Linked DNA regions of Pelodiscus sinensis. The protein of the gene in region 2 binds, or shares a complex with, the protein of the main gene of each other region. Links are inferred from orthologs where the notes say so. Each region holds a gene or a part of one and is shown on either strand. Other genes may lie near its edges. The genes, in order: DR1 and KAT14.

Evidence for each region.
Region 1: KAT14 (region 2) and DR1 share a complex: the UniProt entries of both Homo sapiens proteins name them as parts of the ADA2A-containing complex. The link is inferred for Pelodiscus sinensis from reciprocal best matches to the Homo sapiens genes KAT14 and DR1.

What each region holds. Positions count from the first base shown.
Region 1 is NC_134719.1:34,923,585-34,931,225, reverse strand, and holds the start of DR1 (protein Dr1), read right to left. Parts: upstream 3,357-7,641; 5' UTR 2,838-3,356; coding exon 2,618-2,837; intron 1-2,617. UniProt on the Homo sapiens protein: The association of the DR1/DRAP1 heterodimer with TBP results in a functional repression of both activated and basal transcription of class II genes.
Region 2 is NC_134713.1:193,861,810-193,869,531, reverse strand, and holds the start of KAT14 (cysteine-rich protein 2-binding protein), read right to left. Parts: upstream 3,321-7,722; coding exon 3,065-3,320; intron 1-3,064. Other genes in the region: protein PET117 homolog, mitochondrial, read right to left, coding at 3,634-3,783. UniProt on the Homo sapiens protein: Component of the ATAC complex, a complex with histone acetyltransferase activity on histones H3 and H4. May function as a scaffold for the ATAC complex to promote ATAC complex stability. Has also weak histone acetyltransferase activity toward histone H4.

The DNA.
Region 1 (7,641 bases), on a different chromosome or scaffold from region 2:
AGTACCAAATAAATGTAAGTGTTAATTATAAAAATCTAGAGGCGTATGATAGAAAGAGCAAACAAACCACAGTTTACTTATAAAAATCTGAGCATATTAGTGAAACATTTCTTTTAGTATGTTGATAATATAGTAGGCAAAGAAGTGACTGAAATTTGAATTTCAAAAAGCTTTTAATAGTCATTGTAGACAACTCAAAGATACTACTCAAAAAAAGCAAAATAAGTTTTAGTATATAAAATGGGATAGAACATATTTAACTCGCATACACCATATAAATCTTAAATAATTTTCTTTAAAATAGTGACATGATTCCTCAAAGCATGAGGGTTAATCTGACAGGAATTAGTACCATATGTATTTGTGAAGGATAATAAGGATAACAATGAAGGTACAAGCAGAATATAAAATACTATGAAAGGAACATCCTCCTTACCACATTTGACCATATAAATGGAAAAACATAAATGTTCATTTAAGAGAATCTGATTAACACTGACAACCTGGAATTCAAGAAGAACTTTATATAAAAAATTATGACTTTGAACACATTAGCAGTTAGTGTGTATAATATATATAACCTGAAAAAAACCTTTTAGGAGACAACACAGTGCAGATATAATCATTTCTTTTCGGCTTTCAATCACATACACATTTTCTGAACATCATTATTAGAAAAATAATCCATTACATGCAAACAAATGGACTAATCAGATGATGTTAGAGTGAAATCTGTACTAAGGACCATTTGTAATAGGCAACAGACTTTCATCACTCAATTATTTCTTCCCACTAACACTGTTTCCAATATAGTTTTGTTCTACTTTTCTTTAACCTAAGAACATGTGCTGATACTTTTGGTGGCATCTTTATCTATTTAACCAGCACATTTCATTTGCAATCACAGTCTGGGTTTTACTTTTTAAATTCTGAGCTTGAAAGTTTTTTTAAAAAATCAATTTTATTGCAATACATCATTTTCTTAAAATATTAACTAAAACAAAAGTTTAGATATGGTTCATATTTTCTTATACTGCTGCTTATGTCATCAAAACTAGGGATGTGAAAGGTTAACAGGTTCCAGTGCTCCAGGCTGGAGCAGTGCCCCACCTGCTGTGGGTAATGGGCTCCTTCATCCCTATGGGGCCCACTGCGGACAGAGGATGCTCCAATCATCTGGGCCAACCCTGGTCTGCGGTTGGCTGGGGGGGTGGTATAATGGCAGGCAGCAGGCCACTTAATCTCAGCCATAGGGGAAGGGGGAAGAGGAGGGACTTAATTGGTTAGCTAGTAAAATGTGAAGTAAACTTCACATTAAACCAGTTAGCCAATTACACAGGATTTTACACCCCCTAATCATAATCAGAACTTCAAAAATCCACTTACATATTGCAAATAGGAAACTTCTTCTTTTCTGCTGAGTGGAGTGAACATACCCCATCACAGTCTGCAGAATCTAATTAACTGAACATTTAGTGATAATTACAAAAACAACTTTCCATGTGATACAGACTAATAGTTAATTGTTTTCCTGACACTGATATTCTACTGCTTATGCCACTGTTCAGGGACCTGCCAAGCAGCTGAGTAAAACTAAAACTCTGGTCACTTTCACTACCATCTCCATTCACAAGTTTGTGGGCAGCAATGAAACTGTGAAGAACTGTGGTAGCTCTCTCAAGTATCTGAATAAAATGAAAATGATTCTTGACAGGAACAGCCCATGTGGCTTACAAGTCATTAGTTTAACTCTTGTTACTACTTGGGAAAGCTGTGAGCAGCAGTATTAAGCACTGATTCTATTCATAGTGAACAAACACCCAAAAATGAAAGCTAGTGAGTATATGCTATTCTGGTCTTCTCCAAAATCAGGAGGCTCAGATCCGGGAGAAAGAGAGAGAAAGCTTTTCCATCCAACAGCCACAGAAGGTAAGACACAACAACCAGAAGAGGGTGCAATGGCATATTTTAAAATGTACACACCTATTACATCAGAAACTGATGCAAAAGATGAAGCCACAAAACAAGACCAGGAGCAGGAGCAGATAGGAATCCCAGTATCTTCCTAGGTGATAGGCTTTTTAGTGCCAAGAGAATGGAACTCACCGCCCATCCCTAACCTTATATACAGCATCAACCTCTGGTTTACAGGTACTTAGTATTTTGTTTCTGTAAGAAACAGGGAAGTAATCTGCACAACCATGCTGCAAAAGTCTCTTTTCACAGGTATGGAAACTGAAGCACTTAAGTGACTCACCCGCAGTAGCACAAGAGAACATGGGCAGGAACTGACAACTCCTGCCTCCTTCACCACAAAAGTAGCCTTCCCATTTGCAATGCAAACTAGTAAGAAATGCCATAAATAATCTTACTCATGTTTTTTTAAAAATGACTTCTGCAGTACTTTTAGAAAAATCAACGTTAGGATCATAGACCTGAGGGAGGGCTCTGTGTTATGTGAAAGCTTGACTTTCTCACCAACAGTTGTTGGCCACATTACAAGTTATCTTACCCACCCTAGCTCGCTATAATCCTAAATTCTACAACATTAAACTAAATGGTCTGTCATCTACCAGATGACTGCCTTCTCTCCTCCCGCGTCCTCCAGGGATCTTACCTTGTATGACGTGCTCTGGGGAAATGGTTTTCTTCTCAGACTTGTTACAGATCTCATTGGCCTCCGAGGAGATGAGGTGGATGAATTCAGTGCAGCAGTTCACCACCAGCTCCCGGGCATCATTAGCCACCCGGACGTTGGGGAGAGTCTCTTTGATCATCTTGTTAATAGCAGCTCTAGGGATGGTGAGGTCGTCGTCGTTTCCCGAGGACGAGGCCATTGTATTTCAGTTCACACTCACTCTCCGAGCCCCTTTGAACTCACTTTTCAGATGCAAAGCAGGGCACGCGCTCTCCCGGCGGGGACCCGCCGCTCAGGGAGCCCCGGGGCGGTGCTGTCGGGGCAAGTGCCCGGGGGGGACACGAGCAGGTGCCGTGAGTCCGAGGACGGGAGCTGAGGGGACCGGACGCCGGGGAGAAGAGAAGGGGTCGGATTCGCGCCCGAAGGCGGGAGAGCGGGGGCCGGCTGCCAGCGCCCCAGAGCCGGTGCCAGGCGCTCGGCGGCAGCCGCGGGAGGCGCTGCCCGGAGTTCAGGGCTCCCTCGGCTACAGCCCCCGCCACATCCTTCACGCGCCGCCGCCGGGTAGCCGGGCCATGCTGGCCGCCGCCGCCGCGTGAAAAGGAGCCGAAGGAAGCCGCCCGGAAAGCCCGCGCCCGGCTCGGCTCGGCTCTGCGCTCACCCAGCGGCGGCCGCTCGCCCAGAACCGCGGCCGGCCGGGAGGGGGAAACGAGCCAACGCGGAGCAAAACCAACGAGCAGGGCCGCTTCCGCCGGAAACCGTTCTCTGACACTTCCGCTTCCGGGACCCCATGCCCCGGGTAGCGGAAACAGGTCGCCACGCTGAGGACCCTCTTCGCTCCGCGCGCCACCTGCCCCGACGGGCTTCGGAATCCGAAGGGGGCGGCCCCAGTTCCGCCTGTGCAGTAGCCTCGTGGCGCTGCTGAGCGCGCGGCCCCCGTCGCGGAGCCTGCCCTGGGCCGCGCACGTAGCCGCGTTACTCCGGCTGACGCGGGGTGTCGGTGCGGGGCCCGGGCCGCGAGGAAGGCCCTGGGGGAGCAGGCGGTCCCGCCGCCTTGTCTGCAGTGGGATTGTACCGTCCCAGTTACCCCTTCCACGCGAGCGCGCACGTGCTCACCCAGCCCGCCTTCACCCGCTGTGGCTGCAGCGTGGCGGGCAGAGCCTTCGCTTCCCCCGCCCGGCTCTGCAGCCTGGGCTGAAAGCCAGGTGGCGATCAGCCCAGGCTGTGGGGGAATTAATTATTTTATCTGTACGTGCTCTAAGTGTCGCTAGGTTGGACAAGGAAGCGGATCCAGGTGGTGTGGGGGCTACATAGGCGCATCTTTACTTATTAACAGTGCCCCAATTCGGGGTCCCCTGCTTCCCTAGCGGCAGGGTCATCCCCATGGAGGAAACGGTCTGATCATTTTTCATTGCACTTCAGTGTTGAGATCAGACTGTGAGCCAAGTGTAGGTGGTCGATACTCTCAAGCAGAGTTTGCTGTTGCTGGTACTTTATCATTAACAGTTTAATTTGGCTGTTATTTTTCCTGACTTATGAAACTGTCTTTCAAAATAAATTAAATCCTCTTCAGAATAACAGTCTTTTTAATGTCTAGATTAGTAGTTTCAAAGGCTGTAGTTTGAAGCAACACCCAGGGAAATTGTAAGCAGCACATTTAAGTTTGGATCATCTGCTACAGTGTAAATTTATATTGGTGGTTTGATTGGAGTTCTGCTTTTAATCCCAATGTGATACCATTAGCTATTCTTTAGTTTAGGTCTGCTGTGTCAGCACACAGGAGGGAGTTTTTCCATCCTATAATGTCTGATGTATTGCTTAGAAACAGTTAGTTAGGACAGGCTATTGTGGAATAACTTCCTAGATGACAAGTCTTTAACTGCAGATCTGATGCTAAACATAAGTTAGGTAAACACCATAATTTAAAAAAAAAAAAAAGCCTTCCTAGAGTGAACATACATGATATAATTTCCCCCTATATCCTTGCCAAGTGTTAGAAGTAATTGTGTGGACATCAGTACAACAATATTTAGCATAGACTATTTGAACAACTCAGAGCAGCTTTTCCTGGAACTGACAAGGGGAGAAGAAATTCTTGATTTTGTTTTAATTGAAATACAGGGGCTGGATCAAGAGGTGACTATAACGGAATCCCTAGATAATAGCATTAATGTAATTAAATTAACATGGTTGTAGGGGGAAAAATGCTAAAGGAGCTCACCACCGTAGCATTTAACTTCAAAAAGGGGAACTACACAAAAATGAGGAAACAGTTAAATGGAAATAAAAAGGAACAGTCACAAGGGCAAAATGCCTGCACTGTATGGAAGCTATTAAAAACACCATAATAGTGGCTCAGATTAAATGCATATCCCAGACCAAAAAAAATTCAACCACAGTCAAAGAGCAGAGGAAAAGAGATTCCAAAGACAACCTTTAAAAATTAAAAGTCCAATCCCATTGAGGAAAATAGGAACTCTGGTAAGTCAAGTGTAAAACTATAATTGAGCAAGCCAAGAAAGAATCTGAAGAGCAGTTAGTTAAACACACAAAAACTAACAGTGTTTCTTGTAAGTACATCAGAAGAAGGAAGCCTGCCAAGCAGTGACACCACTGGATAACTGAGTTGCTAATGGAGCACTCAAAATAAGGTTTTTGCAGAAAAGCTAAATGAATTCTTTGCATCAGTCTTCACTACAGAGGATATAGGGCAGTCAGACATCCAAGCCATTCTTTGGAAGACAAATCAGAAAAATGGTTTCATATTGAAATTCATTAAACAGTAACAAGGTATTAAGACCAAATAGTATTCACTCAAGAATTCCAAAAGAACTCATACATGACATTATAGAACTACTAATTGTGGTTTGCAAACTATCACTTAAATTAGCTTAAACAACAAATGATCCAGTAGCACCTTAGGGTATGTCTACACTGCAAAATTAATTCGAAATAACAGCCGTTTACATGCAAACCGCTATTTTGAAATTATTTCGAAATAGCGGAGCGCTTAATTCGAATTTGGTAAACCTCATTCTACAAGGAGTAATGCCAAATTCAAAATAGCTATTTCGAATTAAGTGCTGTGTAGACACTTAATTCGAAATAGAGGACTTCCAGCCTTTTCCAGGGAGCCCTGATGGCCACTCTGGGCACAACCAGGAAAACTTACTCTCCTCTCCCCCCAACCCCGGAGCCATTAAAGGGGTAGACCCTGGCCACAGTGCCTGTGCCAGCTCCAAGCCTGCCAGCTCAGAGCCAGCAGTAGCCACCGGGGCCACTGACTCAGTGACCCCAAAACATGAGCTAGCAAGCCACTGGCAGCCAGCCCTCCACCACTCCCCAAGAGCAGTCCGCCAGCTCCCAGGAGCCTGAAGGGCTGGAGGAGGCGGGCCCCTTCCTGGTCCAGAGTGGAGATCATGGACCTTATTCAGGTTTGGGGAGGTGAGGAGGATGCCCCCAACCCATGATCTCCACACTAAATGGAGGAATGAGGCTGTCTATGGTAGGATAGCTGCCAGCCTGGCCACATGTCAACCCAGGAGCAGGTTTGTATGAAACTCAAGTTGGTGCAGCGAGACCCCCAACCCTGGGCCCTGAGCTTCCTCTCCCCCTTCTTCCCCTTCCTTCCCCCTTACAGCTCTTTCCTCCCATGTTTCCCCCTCCCCTTTCTTCCCCTCTCCCACCTTTTCCCGGTCTCCCCAGAGGTTCATCTCCCCCACCCCTCGTTTTGTTCAGTAAACCCAGTTTCTATTTTTGAACATATGTGTTTTATTTTACATCAGGAAGGGAGGGTAGGGAGGGGTAAGTGGAAGGATATGAGGGAGGAACGGGACATGAGCCCCCGGTGGGGAGGACCAGGGTGGCTCTGAAGGCTCCTTGAGGTGGACGTTCTCCCGCAGGGCCTCCTGGATCCTAACAGCATGCAGCAAGTGCAGCCGGGCTGATGGCAACAACCCCACGAGATGCACCAGCATACCCAGGGGCAGCTCTGGCTCCATGTGGCCAAGTGCTGTGATGTCCTGAGTATGGGCACTCAGGGCACTCCAATTGGGGTACGTCTAGACTACAGGCTTTCATCGACAGAAGTGGACTTTTGTCGACAAAACTATACCTGCATCTACACTATCGCTGAGTTCTGTCGACATAACGTCGAAGTTTTGTCGACTGGTAAACCTCATTTTACGAAGCATAATGCCTTTTGTCGATAGAGTTTCTGTCGACAGAAGGTGTTACTGCATGTAAACTGTCCTTTGCGTCCACACTACCATGTTGACAAAGCAGCTTGCTTTGTCGACAGAACTGAATGTAGTGTAGATGCTCTTTGTCGACAGAAGTTTTGTCGACAGTATCTGTCGACAAAACTTCTGTCGACAAAAGCCTGTAGTCTAGACGTACGCCAAGACAGGTCTGCTTTGCTGTCCCTCATCGAGGTAGACAAGCAAGCGGGGAACTCTGAGAATTGTCTGTCTGGGGTAGGGTCCCTTTAAGTTCAGAGCTTAGTTAGCCTCAGGCAGCAGCCCCATGCACTAAGTCCTAACCTGATGCCCTGCCGGCACTGGTTCCAGCTAGCCTTAACTTCGGTTCACGGTCCACTCACTGTGGACGTGCTATTTCGAAATAGCAAAATGCTATTTCAAAATAGATTTTGTGTGTAGATGCGTTAATTCGAATTAGCTTAATTCGAATTAACTATTTTGAATTAAGATAATTCGAAATAATGCTGTAGTGTAGACACCCTTAGAGACTAACAAAAAATATAGATAGTATAATGAGCTGTTGTGGGCACAACCCACTTCTTTGAAAGCTCATGATACTATCTATATTTTTTGGTTAGTCTCTAAGATGCTAAAACAGAATTTGTCTAATTTTTTTGTCGTTACAGACTAAAACAGCTAACCCTCTGAGACTTTAAATTAGCTTGTATACCATATGAATATAGGGTAGCTAGCATGATGCCTGTTTCTAGGAAATAAGCCTACTTCCCAACTAGGCAAATTAGTTGG
Region 2 (7,722 bases):
GAGGAGCTGGCTTAAAAGCCGGTTCCTCCCCAGCACTATCTCCATGGCAGGAGGGGCGGGGGGAGGGGAGAGATGACGACGACGACACGATGACAGCGGGGAACTGGCAGCACTTCCGCCTTTGGAATGTAGCAAGAGCAGGGCTCTTGATGCACTTCAAAAGCAGAAGCACCACGGGGCCAGCGGGGGACTCAAGCAGTCTCTGGCTGGCCCTGTGCTCCCTGCTCTGGAAATGTACAAGAGCCCAGGGGGTTCTATTAAATTCCTGCAAATTCCATCGACTATTCAATTTGTTGATTAATCTAAATTTGACATCCCTAGTTGCAGGACCTGAGAGTCCTGGTGGAGGGCCAGCACTAAGGATCCCTGTGGGGCAAGCAGGGCAGTGGGCTGCCTGCAGGTAGCTGATGGGGGGGGGGCTGCCCAAAGCGTGGTAGTGGGGCTGCCCAACAGAGTTGGGAGACCCGGCAGGTGACTGCCCAGTGGGGCTGGGAGCCCGGCGCACACATGGCTGCTCAATCACACAACACGCAGGGCTGCTCACGGAGCCCTGGTGTGGCGCACGTGGCTGCCCGGACCCCAGCCCAGCGCTAGGTGGCCCGGTGGAGCCCCAGCAGCAATGGTTGCCCAGCAAGTTGGCAGGGCAGCGGGGCCAGCAGAAGGTGGGGAGCTAGGAGGCTAGCGGCCAGGCCAGGGGGCCAGTGGCAGGGGTCCAAAATTGACCTCCTTAGGTCTGGCAAAATCTCTCATCTGGGACCGGTCAGGTCCCAAAGGTGCTGGACCAGGGAAGTCCAACCTGAACTGGCTTTATATTGTTCTGTGAATACTAATCTTAAATTCAGGATACCATGGAACCATTCTTATATACAGAAGACTGAAATCTATTTACACAGCCCACTGAAATGGCAAACCAATCAGGAAAATAATAATAGTTCTTATGTAGCACCTTTCCTTACAAAGGAACTGGCATTATCCCTGTTTTACAGATTGGGAAACGTAGGGTATGTCTACACTACAGCGCTAATTCGAACTAACTTAGTTTGAATTAGTTAATTCAGACTAAAAAACTAGTTTGAATTAGCGTTTTGCTAATTCGAACTAGCATGTCCACATTAAGTGGACCCTGAACCGGGGTTAAGGATGGCCGGAAGCAGTGCCGGCAGGGCATCAGATGAGGACTTAGAGCGTGGAGCTGCTGCCTCAGGCTAGCCAAGGGCTGTGCTTAAAGGGACCCGACCCCCACCCCGGACAGACAGTTCTCAGGGGTACCCCGCTTGCAAAGCAGTCCTGTCTTGGAGTGCCCTGAGTGCCCACACCGGGCACATCACAGCACTCGGCCATCAGACCGGCTGCACTTGCCGCAGGCTGCCATCTGAGGAGAGGGGGCAATTGGGGGCCTGCAGGAGAGCTTCCACCCACAGAAGCCCACAGAGCCAGCCCAGTCCTCCCCATTGGGGGCTCGTACCCCATTCCTCCCTCACCTCCTTCCACTTACCCTTCCCTAGCCCCCCTTCCTGATGTACAAAATAAAGAAAACGTGTGGTCAAAAATAGAATCTCTCTTTATTGAACAAAACTCGGGGAGATTGGGAAAAGGAGGTGGGAGAGGGGAAGAGAGAGGGTGGGAGAGGGGAGGGCAACTACAATGATGAGAGGTTTGGAAGAGGTCCCATATGAAGAGAGGCTAAAGAGACTGGGACTTTTCAGCTTAGAAAAGAGGAGACTGAGGGGGGGATAGGATAGAGGTCTATAAAAGCATGAGTGGGGTGGAGAGGGTGCATCAAGAAAAGTTCTTCATTAGTTCCCATAATAGAAGGACTAGAGGACACCAAAGGAAAGGAATGGGTAGCAGGCTTCAAACTAGTAACAGAAAGTTGTTCTTCACAAAGCAAAGAGTCAACCTGTGGAACTCCTTGCTGCAGGAGGCTGTGAAGGCTAGAACTAGAACAGAGTTTAAAGAGAAGTGAGATCAAGTCATGGAGGTTGGGTCGATGGAGTGGTATTAGCCAAGGGGTAGGAGTGGTGTCCCTGCCCAAAGTTTGTGGAAGGCTGGAGATGGATGGCACGAGACAAATGGCTTGGTCACTGTCTTCGGTCCATCCCCTCCAGGGTCCCTAGGGTTGGCCGCTGTCGGCAGACAGGCTACTGGGCTAGATGGACCTTTGGTCTGACCCAGGACGGCCATTGTAAGCTCAGGACTCAGGGTCGGGGGGTCTCAGTGGACCACCTTGATTTTCATGCACACCTGCTCCTGGGTGGCCAGGCTGGCAGCTCTCCTGCCCTAGACGGCCACTTTCCTGTGCCTAGTGCGGAGGTCGTGGACGAGTTCCACGATATCCGCACTAGACCAGGCGGGTGCCCGCCTCTTGCGGTCCCGGGCAAGCTCCCGGGAGCCGCCAGCCTGGTCCCGGGAAGAGGCGGAGGGCTGGGGGGCATCGGGTGGCTGGCTCGAGCCGTGCCAGGTGCAGGGTCTGCTAGCTGGGTGCTGGCAGGCTTGTACCTGGCACGGGCACCGTAGCCAGCCCGTGCCCCTTTAAGGGGTCCGGGGCCGGGAGGGGGGCAGACAAGTTTCCCTGGTGGTGCCCAGAGTGGCCACCAGGGAAAGCTGGGGAGGGCTAGCCTCCCACTAGTTTGAATTAAGGGGCTACACACCCCTTAATTCGAACTAGTAAGTTCGAACTAGGCTTAGTCCTCGTAGAATGAGGTTTACCTAGTTCGAACTAAGCGCTCCGCTAGTTCGAATTAAGTTCGAACTAGCGGAGCGCTAGTGTAGCGCCTATCAAAGTTAATTCGAACTAACGTCCGTTAGTTCGAATTAACTTTGTAGTGTAGACATACCCTGAGAGATTGAAAGGGGAACTGACAGACACAGGCACAGCAGACCAGTGGCAGAGCTGGGAATATAATCTAGGTCTCCTGATCCCTAGTCTGGTGCTCTATCTACTACACATCACTGCCTCCCATACGTTCAGGAAAATAATATGATTTTTTTTCTCTGAGGAAAAGAACAAATAAACCCACAAAACGCAAGAGATGGAGATAACAGAGGAAATCTTGACTCTTACTTGCTGGTATCCACTTCTGACACTTTTCACAGTAATAGGACATCTCCTCCATCCAGGATGCATCCCCCTCATCACTGTTCAAGGAGTCCCCACTCTGATCGTGGGATAAATCCACTGAAGCCTGATCCTCAGACTCAACAATCAGGAGAGTCTCTCCTTCCACCTCACCCTCCTCCAGCCCTTCTGAAGTTGATGTCCTTGTAGCTTCGTCATCGTGCCGACTCATCAGTCCACTCATGTGAACGTTATTATCCATCCCTTCTTGGCAAGCAGAGGAAGGGATTTTTTTACATTACATGGGGCTCTCCCTCCAGCATTTAAAATACCACCCATATAAGGTGAGCCAGCCAGGTATGAAGCCTTCTACACTATATTTCTGCTCACATGAAAATATTCAAGTTAGAGAATAATTCTGCGTACACACTTCTTAATGTATATAATTTCCTAGACTTGATGACTAGGTAGCTAAAGGTGATGGAAGTAGCTTCCGTTTCCTGAAACACCTAGGAACACTCAAACACAAATCCCTGCTGTCCTTCAGTCCCAACTCTAAAACTTCATGTTTAAGTCTAGGATTGTTGGGACTCTTTTTCCATTAACATCTTGTGTCTCTCTGCTTCAAGTTGCTTGGTCAGAGTAATCTGTTCTTGTAAAAGGCGAATATTTTCCAGTTTACGGCTTTGTCTCTCAAGGTCTCTGACAACTCCTTCGTGCAGCCTCTGAAAATACAAGAGACATGGTTCATTATAGTCGATTGCATGGAACTAACACCCCTTTGCATTCCAACCTCTGTCACAGCACTGCCAAATATATAACTGTTACAAACTTTCAATTCTCTGTTCAAGACACAAGCTACTTTTCGAGTTTAAAATGACTAGAACGGAGCTCTGATAGGTGGATGTTGATAACTACTGGTAACATGCTAGGAAAACTATATTTGTTGGTTCAGCTACATAATCTTCCTATAATGATAAAGTGTTAGACAACTGTAAATATTGTATATTGATCATTTCTACAGTATTACGGAGAGACAGCAATATATCTGTCGAAGATTATGACTTCTCCCCCATCCTTATCAGAATTCAACTAATCTGCCTGAAATATCTCAACTTGTGATCCTCTGCTTGAGCAGAATTAACAGACATTAACATAGACAACATGGAGACTACATTAAAAAAATGAATTAAATGTAAAAGGATTATAACTGAAAGAGAAAAAGTTTTTCCACTTGGTTTATTTTGTGCACTTGACAGCATTTTGTTCTTAATACCTTGAATCCATGCAGAGATCCAAGAATTCAGTGGAGATTCCAATGCATAGGGATCCACTAACGCAGAACTCACTGTGCTTTATATATAGTTAATTTAGCTGTTTCTTCTGTATAGGCAGACCTTGTTCCTGAAACTGGATCCCCACAAGTAGGTCCAACTACTGAATCTGGGCTTTTGTCAATTTCCCTTTTTGTTTATGGGTATTTCGTGTGGGTAATTTGTACAAACAATAGAGGAAAGAAAGGCATATTGAAAACAAGAAAATACATCTGCAAAACTGCAAACATTGATAAAGGAACTATGGGGTAGGAGTGATACTTGAAACTGCTTCTAATTCCTTTGAGATTGACTAGATTTCAAGATGAAGGTGGCACCTTTAACAGAAGATATTAAAATATGACATTTGATTAGGGAAACACATGAAATAGTTGCATAGAAACCAATACTAGAAGAAGCACAGGGTTCTGTCCACATGGATCCAACTGCAGGACCAGGCCCATATTTTGTTACTACCTATGGTCTTGATCCTTTCAAAACTTATAGGTCTGCCTAAATAACTAATTGATATGTGTAAAGCATAAATCTTTGCATGATCAGGATTCATATGTATTCATAGGCACTACAACTGCTGACTGGATGAATGCTGGAAAAAATAATTTATGAATAAATTAATAGCCAAAAAGGTAAATACTTTATTTGATTAATCTGATATTATATAGGCAGGCTTAATAGATCTGAAAATGCATTTGCAAATCATTCATTTTAAAAATTGACCTCAAAAAATAAAATAAACTTTCTAATAGGAAGAGGCATCGCTTCTCACCCAGAAACCAAGTACGTACGCATTTTGAGGGAAATAATGTGTCCCATCTGAATCATGAAGAAAAAATATTTTGTGCAAGAAATATTTTAATCTTGTTTTCAAAAATTATGGAGGCAGACAAAATACATTTCACCCAAAAATGTCAAAATCTCTCTGGAAATTAATTTTATGGGAACAGTTCTTTCCTATCAGTTTCAGTCAATTTAATTCCGATTATAAAATTACTACTGTCCTGATAAACTATTACTTTAGTAGTATAATGAAATGTACTACCATACTATATATACAGAAAAAATGTAGAGATTTTTATGAATGCAGGTTTCAAGCATGTCTCTTGATCCAATAAAATACACTCTTATAACCTACCAGGCTATGCTTTCATTCACTTTAGAGCTATAGTTATATATGTATTTTGCAAAAAATCTTTATGTTTTGTCCCAAATGACAGAGGACATCCTTCAGTACCATCAAAATACATACAAGCAGACTTAGGTGTGGTGTGGTCTATACACATAAGTTGCAACAGTTTGATTTTTTTATATCAGTTTAGGTTCAGTGGTTTTCAAACTATAGGGCGGGACCCTATAGTGGGTCACAATCCCATTTTAATGGGCTTGCCAGGGTTGGCTTAGGTTTGCTGAAGTCTGGAGCTGAAGCCAAAACCAAGTACCACTGCCCTGGCAGAGAGATCAGGTTATAGACCTCCTACCTGGAGCTGAAGCCCTCAGGCTTCAGCTTTGGTCCCATTTGGAGCAGTGGGGTTTGGAAGGACTCAGGCTTTGGTTCCCCCCTCCTGGAATTGTGTAGAAATGCTTGTTGTCAGAAGGGGGTCATGATGCAATGAAGAATAGTGATAGAAATGTAGAGAACCCCGATTTCGTTAAACTGGCACAAGCTTAAATTCACTTGGCTTCTCTCAAATTAGTTCATGAAGGCCAAAAGTTTCTTAAATTGACATAAGCCCGATGTGAACTAATTTAAAAGTGTCCATATTAGAGGTCTGCATTAATTTAACTAAATTCAATTTTTAAACAATTTAGATAAACTGGTGCACTTTTGAGCACAGACAAAGCAATAGTTAACACTGATTATCAGATATCAGAGGGGTAGCTGTGTTAGTCTGGATCTGTAAAAGCAACAAGGAGTCCAGCGGCACCTTACAGACTAACAGATGTATTGGAGCATAAGCTTTCGTGGGCAAAGACCCACTTCGTCAGATGCATGTAGTGGAAATTTCCAGAGGCAGGTATAAATATGCAGGCCAGAATAAGGCTAGAGGTAACGAGGTTATTTCAGTCAGGAAGTGCGAGGCCCACTTCTAGTAGCTGATATGGAGGAGTGAACACCAAGAGAGGAGAAACTGCTTTTGTACTTGGTTAGCCATTCACAGTCTTTGTTTAATCCTGAACCGATGGTGTCAAATTTGCAGATGAACTGTAGCTCAGCGGTTTCTCTTTGAAGTCTGGTCTTGAAGTTTTTTTGCTGCAGGATGGCTACCTTTAAATCTGTTACTGTGTGTCCAGGGAGATTGAAGTGTTCTCCTACAGGTTTTTGTATATTGCCATTCCTAATATCTAATCCCACGCATACATGGAACACAAGCTGTCAGGAACAGTATCCCTGATGATGCCACAGCACAGCTGGTGGCTGAACTCCGTGACTTTATCCTCACACACAACTATTTCAGATTCGGTGACAATATATACCTCCAAACCAGTGGCACCATGATGGACACCCGCATGGCCCCACAATATGCCAACATTTTTATGGCTGACCTGGAACAACGCTTCCTCAGCTCTCGTCCACTAATGCCCCTTCTCTACCTATGCTACATTGATGACATCTTCATCATCTGGACCCATGGGAAGGAGACTCTGGAAGAATTCCACCATGCTTTCAACATCTTCCACCCCACCATCAACCTCAGCCTGGACCAGTCTACACAAGAGATCCACTTCCTGGACACCACAGTGCACATAAGTGACCGTCACATAAACACCACCCTATACCGAAAACCTACTAACCGCTATGCCTACCTTCATGCCTCCAGCTTCCATCCCAGACACACCACACAATCCATTGTCTACAGCCAAGCACTAAGGTACAACCGCATCTGCTCCAACCCCTCAGACAGAGACCAATACCTACAAGATCTCCACCAAGCATTCTTGAAACTACGATACTCACACAAGGAATTGAGGAAACAGATAAACAGAGCCAGCCATGTACCCAGAAGCCTCCTACTACAAGACAAGCCCAAGAAAGAAACTAACAGAACACTACTGGCCATCACCTACAGTCTTCAGCTAAAATCTCTACAACGCATCATCAGTGATCTATAACCCATCCTGGACAATGATCCCTCACTTTCACAGGCCTTGGGAGGCAAGTCAGTCCTCGCAAATTCTCACCAGCAACTATACACTGCACCACAGTAACTCTAACTCAGGAACCAATCCATGCAACAAACCTCAGTGCCAACTCTGCCCTCATATCTATACCAGTGACACCATCACAGGACCTAACCAGATCAGCCACACCATCACTGGTTCATTCACCTGCAC